3 linked regions of the Drosophila melanogaster genome follow. The protein of the gene in region 1 interacts with the protein of each later gene in a pairwise test. Each region holds a gene or a part of one and is shown on either strand. Other genes may lie near its edges.

Region 1 (8,126 bases):
CATTGCCGTATTTCCTTTAGTTTTATTAAGACACCTGCCTTTACGACCCGCCCCACAACTTATGCTCTCGTCACTCAATGAGCCATATACCTTTTTTCTTATTCCACAATTATTGTTTATGCATTCATAGCCTTTTCGACCACCTTCAACTCGATTTGGAATACGAAGCATGCACCGCCAAGAAAGGAGAATTTAATTGCTTTATTCGTAGTGGAGAACCTGAAATGTGCGCACGGAAAATTATTAAATGCTATTTATCACTCAGGCGACAACGGAAATGTGTCTCTGACACTTACAAGAAAGCCCCGGACAGGGCGGGGTGGTGAGGGGCGTGGCATGTGCAGCTGCTAAGGAAATTGGCAGCATCTGGGAAAAAAAGTGCACTTGAGGAAATTAAAAATTGCATTTGAATGCCACGCACGAGCGTAAAAACTAATATCCGCCCTCAAGCTCATTGTTTTGCTGAAAGATATAAATTTCCTTGAGTCAAGAAGGGGTCATTTAAGGTAGAAATAAATGTATTTCACTAATTTAAATTCATATAATTCATGCAGTTTACAAAAAAAAATTAAATGTTCAATGAATACAAGTACAATATACGCTTCATCCTTAAAGTATGCCACAACATTGTGAGTGCAGTCGCAGATACTGCCAGAAAGTAGGCAAAGATACTCAACTAGATACATTTACGCTACGTAAAATCATGTAACATTTGTGTTCATATTGGACACTTGTTCGCTATATCCTTATATTCCTAGACATATAACACAAACATGGCTGCAATGGCCGCCAAAAAGGACAGAAACGTCGAGGCGTAGAGCACGGCACAAGTTGTGTCCATCCAGGATACCAAAGGACCCACGGAAAGGGATACAATCAACTGGGCAATAAAAACCATACTGCTGATAATGGCCACATCAGTGCCCAATCCACGAGCCTGTTTCAGTGGTACTATCTCTCCATTCTTAATAGAGAACTGAAATTAACATATTTTGATTAAGAAGTTGAATTTTAAAGGTCTTACAAGTATACTTACACAATTTTTGGCATGATATCTAGCCACCAATATGAAAGGCACCGTGAAAATGGTTCCATACAGAATACCAGCTGACGTGCTGAATACCAAGACTCCCCACTTAGTTGGCCACAAGCCCAGGACAAGCATTCCGATACCATAGTAAATCATTCCACTAATGTAAACCGCCTTGGTTCTAAAAAAGAGCGAGATAATCACGGTTAACATATAATATTCAATACATTTGGATTTCTTTTAGATATTCGATTTGGAAGCAGACGTCAACATATTATAGCTCAGGTGGTTAATCAAAGCTACTGTCTTTAAGAATTTTAAAGGTAAACTTGACAGTTTGCAACTAGAAGTTCGTACACTGTTTGCCAACAGTCAATGAAAAACCTCATTTGTTTAATACCAAGATCTGAATTTGTCTTTATAATCTATTTGTTGACCAAAGCAAGAAAAATGATGTTTACACTTAAACAAATTCCGATGGCATTTTTAGTAGTGTGCCGACTTACCCGAACCACTTCATTAACTTGGTCACCGACAGCGAGTAAATGGAGCAGGAAAATGCGTATATGGCCATTCCCCAGCAACCAAATCGCACTCCAGCCTCGTAGTTGAGAGCAGCTTCCGAGTTGGGAGCAGCCGTGGGATCACCGTGGAAAACTGCCTCACCCACAAAGTCCGTGAAGTACAGGCAATAGGTGACGTGGCCCATCCAGCAGAAGAGATTGGTGAGGGCCAGCATGCGCATCGAGTAGGGCATGATGAAGATGCTCTTGAGATAGGCCTTAAGGGAGACGGGAGCATCGTAATCCGACTGGGTCTCCAAATCCTGGGATTTCCCTTGCTTCTCCACAGCGGGTGAATAGCCATTCTGATAGCTGCCTTGCAGTGCCTCCAATCGCTTGGGATCATCACTGGCCATCTGAAGCTCCAGCTGTGTGGTCTCCTGGATATAGTAAATGGTATTGTTCTTCTTTTTCAACTCCTTCTTGATGGCCTGTTCGGACAGCGGTCTCAGCAGCTCATCCTGCTCGATCAAGGGCAATGGAATTTCACGGAATGTGGTCACCGTGATAAGATAGCACACCGCGAATATGATGGTGACCAGGGTGAATACAGTGGGTATATTGCCACCCATGAAGCTGCCAATATGCGTTGTCTCCCAATCCACTCCTCCAATGGCATATCCAATCGTGCCGCCGAATCCCGCGAAGAGCGCAAACATGGTCATGGCTTTCGGCTGCTCCTCTGGCACACACATATCCAGTAAATAAGTGCGAGCCGGTGTCTGGCAGGTATCCGCATCGAAATCCAATAGGACCATGCCCAAAATCGTAAGGATCACGGCGAACTTATAGTCGGATGCAGAAGGTCCTGTCGTCGCTTCACCCGAAACCAAAGCAGCCACAGATCCCCCCGACGAAGATGTGAAATTCAAGGCTGACTCTGCATAAGTATATCCGGCATCGCCAAGCAGCAGACCCAGATCCTTGCCATATGGCACCAGAATCAAACCGCACATTATGCCAAATGATAGAATCGAGATAATTGGACGTCGGCGACCCCAACGAAGCTTGCAGCGATCGCTAATACTTCCCAGCAGCGGGGACATAAAGAATCCAATCAGTGGCGACAGTCCCCAGGTCATGGACATGTGTTTGTGATCCACACCGATCTGTAGGAGAATCGGAGAGACGAAACTCGTCTCCGCCGCATAGGCAAATTCAATGGCCATGGCGATGGCGGACAATCGAAACATCTCGAACCGCGTCTTCCGGCGGAAGACATGCGAGTAGTCGCGATCCTGTTCCCGAGCATGATTCTCCCGTGTTTTCAGCATGTACTTGATCATCGGGTTCCGGACCGAGGACAGCTGATTCGCCTGCGAGGCGTCGGCAGTAACTCCAACCATTTTGATCCGGTCTTACTGACTGTAAAAGGGAGAAATATAAGTAAAATATAAGAAGATGTTACATTAGGTTAAGTTATAATAAAAATTACAGAAAGAAGCATAATCAAAAATTATGAATCAAAGCCGGGATTCATCCGTAATATTATGGAAATAAAATCTTCTCAATTTTGATTCAAAAAGTTCGTATGATGTTGCCGACTTTGCTAAACTTTTCCACTGCTGGGGTGCAGCCACACATTAATCGATTGGGTCACATCTGGGATTAATTTCGCTATCTCAATCTTTAATTACCAAACGACGATCGTGCTGTTTGCCATCGCACCCCGAGAACAGAGATATTGAACCCATTAATGTGGAAACATCTGGATCTGGTGCGGCACGTCGAAGAAGCGTCAAAGATCTCTGATTAATTGAGCTGCGCGGCCACGCGGCAGTGGCGAAATATATAAATATGAAAATGAAAATGAATATGAATTTCAATTCCAATTCAATTGCACTGCGGCTCGCAATTTGTGTCACTGCCTATAGAGTGCGAACCCTGAACGATGGCTATTTGTTTACAAACAAATTCAATCACAGCGAAAGACAAACGAGAGTGAATTGTCACTCGAAGGCTTATCTGGTTAGCGGAATCGAAATCGAAGTCGAGTGTAAGCCCCGAAATGGGTTCACAAACCTAGTCGTGTAATCGGAATACACAAATAAAAGACCCTTTCTGCGCTTTGTTACTATGTGGGTTAGTATCAAATTTTTGTGGAATATAGTTGTTTATCACATTTTGATCGGAAAGCATCGATAAACTTACTTAATTTCCTAATTGTCTAATATCACTATTTTGTATTTGAACTAATTTGATCACTCTTCTTGGTTTTTAGTATTTCAGCTATTATCACACTTTGCAAATATCTTTCACTCAGTTTCTCTTTTGCTTAAACTTGACAATTAGCCACATTTTCGAACTATTGCAGGCGAACACTTTTGCAAATTGACGTATCAGCGGTTTATATTGGGTTCAATTGTATCTTTGCGGTTGATCTTTAAACGGCTATTGGCGAGGCGGCACCAAAAACTTTTCTACAACCAAAACGTCGCGTGTCCAAATCGCAACTGAGTCTGGGTCTTCGAATCTGCGAGTCTCCGCGTTTCTCTATCTTTAATCACATAGTCTGGCTGGCGAGCGTTGCCTCTGAGCCATTGACCAAAACCTATCTGCTCCATACGTGAGCACTAACAACAAGAATAATAAAATCATAATAAAAGCTCGAATAAATTTAAAATACAAAACATCTAATTTGTACGCCGCCGGCTCGAGTGTCATTCACATTGTCACACTTTCGTGGTAATTGAGACAAGTTGCAGGTCATGTGGGTGTAGTAGATACAGTACTGTACTACTCTTATTTTCTCCTGGAATTTCAAATCCAATCCCCCCAATGGGCCAACGGTTAGATGACCGACGCTTTTTGCACTTAAATATGTATAAATATTCTCGGAAAAAAAAAATAAACGAACGAACGGCGGCTGGTAATTAAATCGCCGCAGACTAGGTCAATAAATGTTTAAATAAACAAAATAGCAACAAAATGATGAGCTTGGGGCATTAATTAAGTAGCCGGTGGCTTTAATTGCCTGTTACGATTAGGAAGTCACCTGATAAGCATTCCGCAGTTGACAACTCTTCGGGGGCCTGAGTGAATCATTCGAAAACATTTCATATAAAGGGGTCAAGGTCATATCGGGGAGTTATTGAGGAAATAGTTAACATTCAGATAGCTGAATCCGTTAGCAAAATATCACAATGTTAAATTCACACGTCTTCGGCGAAATAATCGGATGAATTCCATTGTTGCTGCTCTCGTAGCTGGTTCCATGGCGATTAAACCGTTTTGTAATTAACATGATTATTATTAAACTGCTGCTGCTTAAAATGCATATTACTTTATTGTGGGGGTGTGAACCCGGCTGTGCTGTTGATATACATACAAATATGCATATACATATACATATAGGTGTAGATTGGTTGCTTTCAGCACATAGGCAGTTTATTTAACCAACAATTGAGGCGTAATTGATCCTCTTATTGTGAACAGGCATGAACCGTGTTATTATTTTATTATGGCTCCCTTAATTATGGGAGAAAATTCTAACGAAATTTATTTTATTTCGTGGAAATTGTGGATATGGCTATTTAATTATTGACGTCTTATATTCGATTATAAGGTATTTAGGAAATTCGATACACTCGGGTAATTTGATTATTAATTGCAAGTACTATAAGTTAAACTGGAATTTTAAGTGGCTCGTATTTATAAAAGAAGGACTTACTTGCATAAAAAGTATCACTTGTAGAGTTCTAGTTTTCAACCTAGTTTTTAGTAGCTCTAACACAAAGCACAGGACCATAAAAGTCAAATAAAGTTATATAATTACTATTAGCTATAATAAATAATCCACTGCAATGGCTCAAACTCACCTGTATGTGTGGCAATCCTTGATCTGCTGACAGCCCACGCTCCTCACGCAATCGTTCCTCTAACTATTTATTTTTGCTACGAAATGTGACTAATTTTTCTTCTTATGTTTTATGTTGATTAAAGTTTTAACGATCACTGTCACTGTTTAAGCGCTTTGCTTCACTCACTATCCCGACTTTGTTTTAGTGTCAATAAATTATACTCCGTTAAAGTTTTTCGCTTGCACAAATTGCTGAACATAAAATATATTTCGATTTTCTTTAATTTCAATTGTTTCTGCTTTTGTTGCTTGGAGCGAGCGTGGGCGTGGCAGTTGTGGGCGGGCGGCGATAATGAATTCACTCTCATAACTTTACCCATGCAATTGGTGTTGGCAAAAGGCTAACGAAATCAATTTTTGCACCCCAGTCTCGGTCCTCCTGTTTTTGTTTTCCTGCGGAAAGTTGTTCCGCACTCTTCTCTGTCGCTCTCGATTCACTTGCACTTTGGCGAATTATTATTATTATCAATTTTAATGATATATCTACTTTATATCTGCTCGTTGCCCGATGGATTTGTTATTCGTTTGGTTGTATGATTTTTACTTTCTTATTAAACTGCTGACATTGCCGCTTGTCGAGCGCGGCAGCTGTTTACTCCTTTGGCCTGAACGCTGCGAAGATTTTGGCAAGACATGAAAGAAGAGTTTTCCTCGCAATTTCCCGGCAAACTGCGCAGTTCCGAATTATGTCCCTCGAATCGATACGCACGAAATGGAAAATTTATGTTCTATTTTTTGCAGAACTTTTTGTTTGCGGTGCCTCAACTTTCGATGACTTTGGTCTATTTTTGGATGGCCAAATCGCCTTCGGACAACTGCTCGAGATGATCTTGGTCTGCTCTGGTTCGCTCTGCGACTGAATGGTGGACCTCTGGACGCAGCAATTTATACGGCATATGTGACGGCAGCTCGGTCTACCATAGCTCTGCCTCTCTCTCTCGCATCCCAGAGTACTCTTCATGGGATCGGGCCTCCATATCGCGGGCCATATTCACTCTCCCTCCGATCGGCGTCTTATCGCATCGGGTCCGGTCGAGCCTTTCCTTTCTTTGTCTTAGGAGCAGTGGCCACACAGAGAGAAAAGATAAGTACTATTCCATGGCAAGTTATCAAAATGCACCAAGATATATATATCTTTCAATTGTTTCTAAGACTTATTATATTAATAAACAAATATCCTTAAATTTTTCCACTATGTTACTTTTAATAATAATATTTTTTTTTTTATTATTTTCTGTGAATTTATATGAGTATTCTAAGATACTTTTGCATGAAGATAGAACTTTAGCTGAGTGTAGCCTAATGAATAAACATGTACTAGTTATTATAAATATTAGATATTAAATGGTCTGCATTTTTTTCTCTGCACACAAATCTTGCCATAAATATTGATGTTGATATTAGGTGTTTTTTATTTTTTTGCCTCGCCTCAGCTCATTCGCAATGCATTTTGTCTGACGACATAGCACAATCTGTGTGTAATTATGTTAATTATTAATTAGCATTAGCACAGTTCCTGGTTCTTGAGCCAACCTAGCTCAACATTTGATCTAGCCCTGCTGCAGGTGATTGTAGATTCTGAGCATCTAAGTGGAACACTCTTGCTCACCTGAATTTCTGGCCACCGGGAACGACAGTGAACACACATGAAACTTGTTTCACAGGCGACAGGTTTCATAGCATAGGCATTCATGGATGTAGTAATATGCACAGTGATTCTCGAGTGATTTTCCAAGGGTGGATTGAAATCCTAGATTACACTGGCCGCATAGGCTGGGAAATTCCACTTGATTTCGAGTGTTTGTTTATCGGTTTATTTATTTAGCTCTTGACGTTATCACACACGGGGTGTGGACGCACGGTTATCAAATCTCAGCAGCCAGAAACACTCGAAAGGCGAATTAGTCAAGTGACTATAATTAATTGGCAATAAAATCTTTTAATGGTCATTTATCGAACCCATAGGTGTGGCATTGAAAATATGGCATTTTACTGCAGACTTCGGCTATAATTTTCTTCAAGGTGGGAACATTGTTCAGAAGCCACATTATTGTACATCCAAAGGAGATTATTGTTATGATGCACTTGAAAGAATCATTACGATGTAGTAACAGCTCCAGTATCTCACCTCGGATTTTATTTTAACAACCGTTTAGAATCTACTTAACGATGGAATGGTACAAGTTTTGTTTGCCATATCTCGTGTTGCCAGACAATAAACATATTCCAAGTCAAATTATACATTTGGATGCCTTGAAATGGCAATATCAGCCTTATATATACAAAGCAGTTATTTACGTATAACACGATAGTATTTGTTCGTGTTTTGACTACCGTTTATGACAAACTTTCCATCTCATTTCGGCCTCATCAAGATGCTAAAATATTCCCCCAAGAATGACGGACAACTTTTTCCCCCACCGCTGCCTCACTTTTTGTGCCAGCTGTATTGTTCAGATTCGGATTCTCAGATTTCGAGGGTTATGTTTGCATTAGTTTGGGATATATGTATATGCTTGATTACTCGTTGACAGGAACTATTAGCGGAAACCCGCGATTTTTGCCAGAGACAAGATCTCGAATTGAAGCCTGTGTGTGGCATCAAATAAAGCGAAGCGAATTATGTAAAAAAAAAAAAATAGTGGTTAAGCCTAGTCGGGTGATGCGTTTATCA
Region 2 (4,582 bases), on another chromosome or scaffold:
AAAGTGTCGGCAGTGGCAGCAGCGGCTCGGCCACCGGAGCCAGCAGCAGCGATGCCTCCTCGTCGTCACCCATGGTGGGCGTTTGTGTTCAACAGAATCCTGTAGTTATACATTAGCATAAACTGGAAGCAAGCAAAGAACGTTGGATGCTCGCTTAAAACACTACTTTTCACGCCCTTTGCCGCTCTCTGCTGCTATTTATTGCACCGCCAACCAACGCCTCCACCCGCCCACAAACCAAGGAACCACAAATTCACCAACGCAGCAGCACCATAGTTGGTCGGTAATCGGGGGTCTTGTCCACACGTTTTTCCAATTTTACATACCATGTACGATGTACTTCGATGTACATATACTACTAATTTTGACGAATAATTGTTAATATTTTCATCTGCGCTTTTGTAAGATCTTAAGTGAAGAAAATTTCTGTTCTATGTAGACAATTTTAAATGAAAATTCTTTTAATTAGCGATTGTGACAACGTGACTTCAATTGGATAAATAGCGAAGATCATTTTGTTTTGTTTGAGTGGTAATAGTCACACTTTCAGCTTTTCCTGAAAAGAAGCTGAGATTCTTGGTTCATTGTAAGACAAGACGCCCGATGAAGATCACTGCAACACAGACACATGTCCAAAATAAAAATACATTAACATTAACTAGCTGAAATTGACCCTCAGGTCCCACGAAACACACGAAAACTCACTCACCTGCGGTTCTTACTGATTAGTCACTTCGAGCTCTCACCGCCGCGCCCACAGCACCGGCCACGCCCCCAGTCGCCCGGGATCGGGGAGGGGATGCCGTGTGGGCGCCTTGATGGATTCGGCAGAGTTTATTTTTTTACACGCTAGAACCTATTTTTTTTTTTGGTCTAATTATAATGTTTAACTTTATGCAGTAACCGTAACGACATACTTTTACTTTATATAAACGAATCAAAATTAAACTTTATTTAATTGTTAATTTAAATTATGTAATTTTATTCGACGAGAAATCGCTAGTAATATAGAAAGCAAACAAATATGCTTAATTTAAGCAAAACTCAAAAACTTTTTATTGTACAAGTAGGGGGGAGGCCAATAGCATTTGGAAAGAAAAGCAAGCGATGATTAGATCAGAACCTGTGCACGATAGTGCTTCTGCAGCTTATTGGCCTTGCAGCCGAGCTTCATCTGCCACTTGGACTGGACGCGCTTCATCAGATGAATGTCGCGTGCCTTGCGGGCGGCGGACAGCTGCTGCGTTTGCGTCCAGCCCAGAGCCCGGTACTCGCTGAGCACGCGGTGCAGTTTGCGGTCGGACTTCTTGATGACGACGGCGCGTTCCGGACGAAGACGCTGCTTGTAGTAGCGAAGCAGGGAGCGATGACCAATGACCGCGCCTGAGGGCAGCACCAGCTGATACTCATCGCCATCGAGCAGATCCGGCACCACCTCTTCGTCAATGTCCATGCCCTCATTCTGTGCGGGTTAAAAGGTTTTCCAAGATTCAGTCAGCATAAATGGAGGTTTGCTTGTGCTATGTGATACTCACATTGTCCGGATAACTGCTGCTGTAGTCGTAGTATTCGGCATACTCGGCCAGCGCCACACCCTCGTGCAGCATCTGGCAGTGGCCCTTGTCGATCATGTGTTTGCGCACGGCGTCCAGGGAATAGAAGGTCTTGCCGCGATCGTTGCAGAACAGGCAGATGAAGTAGTTGGCCACCTTCTCGCCCAGGTAGTACAGAAGGCCCTCGATGTCCGTGCAGTACTCGGTGTCCGGAATGAAGAACGAGTGCGCCACGGACATGTGCTTTAGGTTCTCCACCAGATCCTCGCTGGCATGTGTGCAGAACAGGCAGTCGCGCTCGGTCAGCGGATTCTCGGGTATCTTGTCCCACTCATCGGAATCCACCTGCAAAAAATCAAGTTGTTCTTTATAAGAAGCTGTATACGTTGTAAAGGTGCATATCTTAACCAGGCATAGAATCTCCAAGGAAATCATTCTCAAGGTAACCCTTCTATGAGCAAGGAAAAGTCTAATGCGAGCTCTATCTGCATAGCGCTTCCTACCTCCTCCTCTTCAATGTCCTCGAAATCATCGTCGTCCTCGTCGACCATCTCCTCGTCGTTATTGGCCTTGACCACCCGCTCCGCGAAGGCCAGTCGACCCTTGCCAGCGGCTGCGGCGGCCAGGGCCGGATGGGGCCGCTGCTCCACGACGCTGCGCGTGCACACGGATGTGGCGGTGCTGGCGCTGCCGCCGCTAGCTGTCATCTGCTCGCGCTCGAAGCGGGCCAGCAGCTCCTTGTGCTTGCGGCTGTTCAGGTGGTTGTCGTGCGCCTTCTGGCTGGCGAATTGGCGTCTGCAGGCGTGGCAGTAGACACTTAGGTTCTGCTCCTCGAGTGCCGCGTCCGTGGCGCTGCGGGCGCTAAGAACGCGCTGCTGGAACTCCTCGGCCGTAACGGGCGGCAGCTGGGCCACCCTGCGCTTCAGATTGTAGCGATGCCAGTCGGTCTTGTAGTGATTCCGCTGCACATCCGCGCTGGCGAAGCGGGCATCGCAGTTCAGGCAGGTGAAGTGCGACATTGTGGCGCTGAGTGGATTCGATGATCGCTTGACTGGCACTCTCGTTTTCGTTGGCACTCTGGAATGGCGTATTTCACAATGGAAAGTAAGGCTGCTCAATTTAATGGTGATGATTAAAAAACAAAACCACGTTCTTGACAGTGTGACCAGACGGCACTCACGTCGGCACCATCCACACACAATATACTAAACAAAGAATTTGTTATATGTTATATATATGAGTGCTTTGAATTTCAACAATGAATTAATAGTAATTAATGAAAAATGAGTTTTGTAAATCAGCCCTATTTTTTTATTACTTTAACTTTCTGTTTTTCCTGTGTTCCTGTTTTATAAATGTTCTCATTTGCGCACCACGGTCACATTGGCTTTGTTGCCATTTGTTGTTGCCTCCGATTTCCGCATTTTCAAAGGATCCGGATTTCGGAAAGCAAACGATGCAGTAAGTGAATAAGTAAGTGGTATGTGAAGCAACTAATTTTGCAACTTGGCTACTCTCCCTTCGTCCAGACGATCCCGAGCCAGCAGCACCAGCAGTGGCCGGCATCCGGCGCCGCCGCCAATTGGGCTGCCCCAGCCGCAGGCGCAGCCACTGGAGGCGCCAAAGATTATCGTCATCCATCCTGGATCGCAGCACTTGAGGATCGGCAGGGCGGCCGACCTTAATCCGCTGACCCTGCTGCACGCGGTGGCCTACAGGAGGCGTCCGGGGGCCAGCGATAGGCCGCATCATGATCCGCTGCTGCCGCCGCTGGACAACGTCAACTCAAACTCCGGCCTGATGGTGGAGTTCGAGGAGCAGCGCCTGGTGGTGTCGCGCATTCTGCAGCACTGCGTCGTCGATAACAAAAACCGGTTGCGGGTGGCCACTCCGCCGCAGCAACTGGCCCACTTCAACCGGAGCAGTCAGGCGGAGAAGGTGCCGGCGCCCAGTGGCCAGATGGCGGACGAGCCCTGGCTGGATCGCGAGGCACCCGTGCTGTTCGACGACCGTATCCTGCGACTCGGTGCTGTGGATGCCCGCAACTACGACATCCATTTTCCCATTCAAAGGGGCGAGCTGAATGTGCACAACGAGAAGGGCGGCTCGCTACAAGTGTGTGCTGCGTTGTTCCTCGTAGTTTCCAAACTAAACTGATGAAGCTGTTTTTTTTTTTTCAGGCCAGCATGCAGCACTTGGAACGAATCTGGTCGTACGCCCTGGAAGAGCGTCTGAAGATCCCGCTGCGTAAACTGGGCACCCACTGCGCCGTCTTGGTGGTCAACGATGTCTATGTGCGGCGGCATCTGCGCGAGTTCGTGACCCTGCTGCTGAGGCGTTTGGGCTTTCGGCGCTGCTTCCTCGTCCAGGACAGCGTCGCCTCCACCTTTGGCGCCGGCATTGGGTACGGCTGTGTGGTGGACATTGGCGCCCAAAAGACCTCCATAGCCTGCATCGAGGACGGAATTTCGCAGCTGGATGCCAGGGTGCGGCTGTCCTATGGCGGCGGCGACCTGGATCAGGTGCTACTCCTGCTGCTGCGAAAGTGCGGCTTTCCCTATCGCGAGTGCAATGTGCAGGAGAGCTATGTGGATGCCCATCTGCTGGACGAGCTGAAGGAAAAGTTTTGCCACCTGAACGCCAGCGTTTGTGGCGCCCAGGAGAAGCACTTCAACCTGCGCAAACATAACGGCCAGTGGCTGCGCTACACCATACAGGTGGGCGATGAGGCCCTAATGGCGCCACTGGCCCTCTTCCACACGGAGCTGTTGAACATCACGGGCCGAACGAAAGCGGTTTTCACACAGCAGGCGGTGCAGGACCAATACGACTGCGAGGACTGCTTCGATGCGGAGTATCTGAAGGAGACGGGTCGAAAAAATGGCGTAAGGGGTGGCGACATCTTGCAGCTATCCACCAGCGCCGGATACCAGCCGCGGCCGCAGCTGCCTGTGACCGCCGACGATGAGGAGCTCATTGTGGTGGATCAAGACGAGACCATCAGCAACTGTCAGTCGCAGCTGGGTGCA
Region 3 (4,272 bases), on another chromosome or scaffold:
TACATGTCCCCAGTTGCCATTTACAGAGCGACACACCCATCGAAACGAAGTGGAGTGCTGTGGGAAATTGCCGCCACAATGCAGACATTTCAATTAGCATTTGGCTAAACATAAGGCAAACAATCTGGCCAATTTCCAGTCAATGAAGCCAATAAAATGGAACAAACCGATGGCAGCATAAATACTTGTTAGTTGCTCATACTCACTCTCTTCACTCCCAATGCTTTCTGGCCAACGGAAAAACTTGGCTAGGTAACTACTTCTGGCCTTTTTGGTGTCATAAGGAAGCGTCCAAATGATTCATAATTTATGCCTACCCGTCGTTTTCCATGGCCATTCCCCCCATTCCCCATTCTCGTGACCATTCCTATTCCCAATCCTATTCGCTGCTTTCGTTACTTAATTTCACCAACTTAACGCGTTGGCTTGTGCCCGTTGGCCCGGCTTTTCCATTCCCCCAATCACCTGTAATTGTAATCCATTTCGGGCTTGCACAGGAAAAAAAGGAATTACTTGGTTTAAGAAAATGTGCATAATGAATGAAAAACGATTGCCATTTGAATGGGATCTCAACTATATACCATTTTTATCATTCAAAGATTTAAATGAGTACTTTCTTAAATACTTTTCCTTCGACCAACTATTTTTTCTCTCTCTGTAAAAGTGCGTGGCCGTCGACGCAGTGGCTGTCGCTTGTCTGGTGCGATGATAGTTGAAAAAATTACTTACAAATTACATGCGTAGCTTAAGCCTCCCATCGCCCCGCTGCTGCCTTCAGCTGGCTTAATGTGCAGGAAAATGCAGGAAAAGTCGGGGCGGGGCAATGTGGGCTGTGGGGTATTAGTGCTGTGGGTCTCGTGGCCCGATCGTAAATTGCATTTTCCAATTGAATTCCGAGTTCTGTGCACTGTCAGGCGGACGAGGTCGTCGGAACAGCCGCGGAATACCCTAGAATAAAAATGATTGCTCAGCAGTGAAACAACCATTTCCCAGAACTTTGGCCTGGTTAATTTCCCATCGTTAGGGGCAAAGTGACGGGCTCATTAGCATATAAATATTGTTGTAATTACGCCTGGTAAATAATGCAATTTTGCCATTTTATAGACCCTGCTTGTGCTAAATTAAAATTATTATAATTGAGTTAAGCGAATGGAGTGGTGGGTAGGTAGGCGAGTGGTAGGGCTTAGTGGAATTTCGCATGGCTTAAAATGCAGCACGGAACATGGCCATAAAGTGTAGCTGCGTTTAGCTTAAACAAGTCGACAATTTAAAAAGCCAATTTGCGCATAATACGGCGAACGTGAGCGAAAATTCAAAACAGAACTGCACACGCACTCGCAAAGGTGCAGAATGAATAAGTTTTCAAATCCAAGTGCAGGTAGCGTGTTGTGCAAATTTCTACGCAAATGACCATTAATGCAAATGCTGTTTGCTCATTAAAGAAACATTGCCCGCCCACCAAAAGTGACCCAAATTCATTTGCCATTCGGAATGGGGGGTTTGTTTTGAATGTAATCATGATCAAAGTGAGAATATATTTTTATTATATTTATTCGTTTTTTATTTTCATTATTAAGGCCTATCAATTAGCTTGTTTTGTGGCATAAATGTCGACTATTTAAAACGATTTTTTATACAATCTTAAAATGCATTTCCAAAATATATCAACAGTTCCTTTTAAGACCAACAAATTTTCCATTGTTTTTTTTAAATAAGAAAATCTAATGCTATGAATGCATGAGTTTGCTTATATACACATTAAAAATATATAAAAAATCATAAAAATAAATCAAATATTTGAAAACTCTAGCGTTAGTCAATACTGCCACGAACTTTCGTGCACAGCCTGATCTGCGCTGATCTGGCATCACTGTGCTATTTCCATGAAAGCGATATTCTTCTTCTTCGAGAACTTTAAAAAGTATCACTTGGTAAAAACCATTTTAATCCAAAAATTAGCCAAGTCGAGTGAAAAAGATGGGACGTCGCCGAGCCAAGATGCCTAATTTCACCATTGGCGACTTTGTGTTCGCCAAGTTGCGCCGCTATCGCCCCTGGCCAGGCCGCATCCTCAACCGCATCGGTGCCACGGCATATAGTGTTTACTTCTATGGAAGCTGCAACTACGCCAAAGTGGCTCGCAAAGAGGTCGTCGACTACGAGAAGAATCTGCATCGACTTGGAGTGGTCCAGCAAAAGGGACACGTCTGCAATCCAAGTTTCCGGGCCTCCATGCTACAGGCACGCGAGGCATTCGACAATCCGGATAAAGATTATGGCTACTACCAGCAGTTGGCTGTGAACAACGGCGATTGCATTAACGCCGAGGACCTGGGACTGGAGTACCTGGTTACCGAAGATCTGGGCAACCTACTGGACGAGCAGGCTGCCACGGAACAGGTGGTGGCGGAGAAGGATGTCAACGAACAGGTAGCGGTGGAGCAGAATGTGGAGCTAAATTCACTGGGGCAGATCTTTAGCAACCAGGAGCATGAGAAGGATTCAGAGGATTCTGCCTCGAATTGTCAGCTAGAGGAGAAGGATCAATCAAATTCGGAGGTGGTGAAGGAGCAGGTCTCCGAACGGCATTACTCGATGGCTCAGATAGTTTCTCTGAAATCGAAGAAACTGATGGATACTCCAATTAACATGACATGCCAACGGCGACGCTAGTCAAAAAAAAAATCAGGAGCTGGATTCTACAAACTATGACGAAATGATTTGTTTGCACACACAAAATGTAGCACTTTTTTGTATTAAGTACTTACGCGTATTTTCATTCCTTGACATGCAAACAAAATCGTAATTTGAATAAAATGTCAATCAAAATGTACTTAAACTTAACAGAACTAAACTCATTATATTGTTACCAATCAACATTATACCTTATTATAAACATTGACTTGTATTCCTTAAAGTAGATGAGTCAAATCAAAGTAATGAAAATTTAAGAACTCCCTTTTTAGGACACAACATGATTTGACTCAACCAAAACGGATTTCGGGAATTGGCGGGCCATTAAGAAGACGTGGGCGTGCCTCTGGCCATAATGGCTGTTGCGTGATCCTCCACTGCTGACCTCCACACATCATCCAGTCAGGCTGGGCGCTAATCGAAGCTCGACTTTGGGCGCACGTTTCCGCATTAAATGCTGCACCATCAGCATGGTCAGGTCACCACCCATCAGCCATCATGGCAGCCACCCCCGGGATGAGTCTCCCCAGAGGCGTTTGCTGGATAGTTTAGCTAAATGCCGTCGTAAAAGAACGCCGGCCATTAAACCAACAAGCCGCGCAGCAGAATCAACATCGAAGATTCCCACCCTACTTTCGGCTGATTTAATTGGACAATGCTGCAACTGGAGGAGGAGGAGCAGGAAGAGCACGCGGAGGATTACAAGAACTTTCTGGACGAAGTGCAAGCTGCGATGAGGATGCTTCGATTAACAAATTATCGCCACCGCAGCAAATTAATCGCAGCAGCAGCAGCAGCCTGGCATCTGTAGAACCAAGCACGGGAATCCGAATCTGGGTTAACGAGAGGACGACCGATGACCGCAAATCAGATTCACTAAGCCGGCAATGAGATTTCCCGACCGCATCAATTTGTTTTAATGCCAGAGATGCATTTGCGCCGCTCCAACAGATTGCACCAGCTGGCAGAGCGAAACGCCAGGAGCTGCATCCGAAGCGGGAGGTGCACTAAGGAAAATCAGTAGGTGGGTTCATTTATATATATATTTTATTCATATTTACAGCATCATCGTTCGTATGTGTATAGCCATGAAAGCGAATCCTTCAGCAATCCTTGCCACAGTTGTGTGCTTCCTTCGTAGACCGTGTTCTCAGTGTATCTCATACTTTTCCGAGTGACCGAGATGCTGCTGCAAGATCCCTTGGTGGCTCCAGCATCTTTGGTCATCTCGACAGCTGTCTGCTGGTGGATTTAACGTTGTCCTGCGTTGCTCTGCGGTCTGGACCAGATTGTTAAGTAGTTCGCCGTGCGATATGCATATGGATGGATATATGGGATGGGTTACTCGATGGCCTGAACATACCTCATTCCCGTCGACGATCCCCGTCCTGGGCCGTAAAATGTCAAATTAATGTTACAACATGTCCAGCGATTTCTGATGGCATTTGACAATGTCGAGTGGAAATTCCTGCAGGTGACGCAATTTCCCTGTAATTTGTTTGGCCGCACGTACCGTCGCCACGACATGGGGCATTGTCAGCTCGTTTGTGCCTGCCCAGCATAAACAAAACATCCAAC

The links.
Region 2: the proteins of Slc45-1 (region 1) and CG6769 interact in a two-hybrid assay, tested with the Drosophila melanogaster proteins (one large-scale study listed by BioGRID).
Region 3: the proteins of Slc45-1 (region 1) and CG9926 interact in a two-hybrid assay, tested with the Drosophila melanogaster proteins (one large-scale study listed by BioGRID).

What each region holds. Positions count from the first base shown.
Region 1 is NT_037436.4:9,202,562-9,210,687, forward strand, and holds Slc45-1 (solute carrier family 45 member 1), read right to left. Parts: upstream 6,293-8,126; 5' UTR 5,412-6,292; intron 5,320-5,411; exon of another isoform or gene 5,264-5,319; intron 4,053-5,263; exon of another isoform or gene 3,745-4,052; intron 2,959-3,744; 5' UTR 2,940-2,958; coding exon 1,537-2,939; intron 1,212-1,536; coding exon 1,037-1,211; intron 977-1,036; coding exon 755-976; 3' UTR 504-754; downstream 1-503.
Region 2 is NC_004354.4:17,859,154-17,863,735, reverse strand, and holds CG6769 (uncharacterized protein), read right to left. Parts: upstream 2,735-4,582; 5' UTR 2,573-2,734; coding exon 2,057-2,572; intron 1,899-2,056; coding exon 1,536-1,898; intron 1,463-1,535; coding exon 1,112-1,462; 3' UTR 961-1,111; downstream 1-960. Other genes in the region: mnb (minibrain), read left to right, coding at 1-116; Arp8 (Actin-related protein 8), read left to right, coding at 3,010-3,014, 3,083-3,668, 3,734-4,582.
Region 3 is NT_033777.3:13,948,784-13,953,055, reverse strand, and holds CG9926 (uncharacterized protein), read left to right. Parts: upstream 1-1,917; 5' UTR 1,918-1,977; coding exon 1,978-2,673; 3' UTR 2,674-3,602; downstream 3,603-4,272. Other genes in the region: CG31517 (uncharacterized protein), read right to left, coding at 3,946-3,973, 4,058-4,221.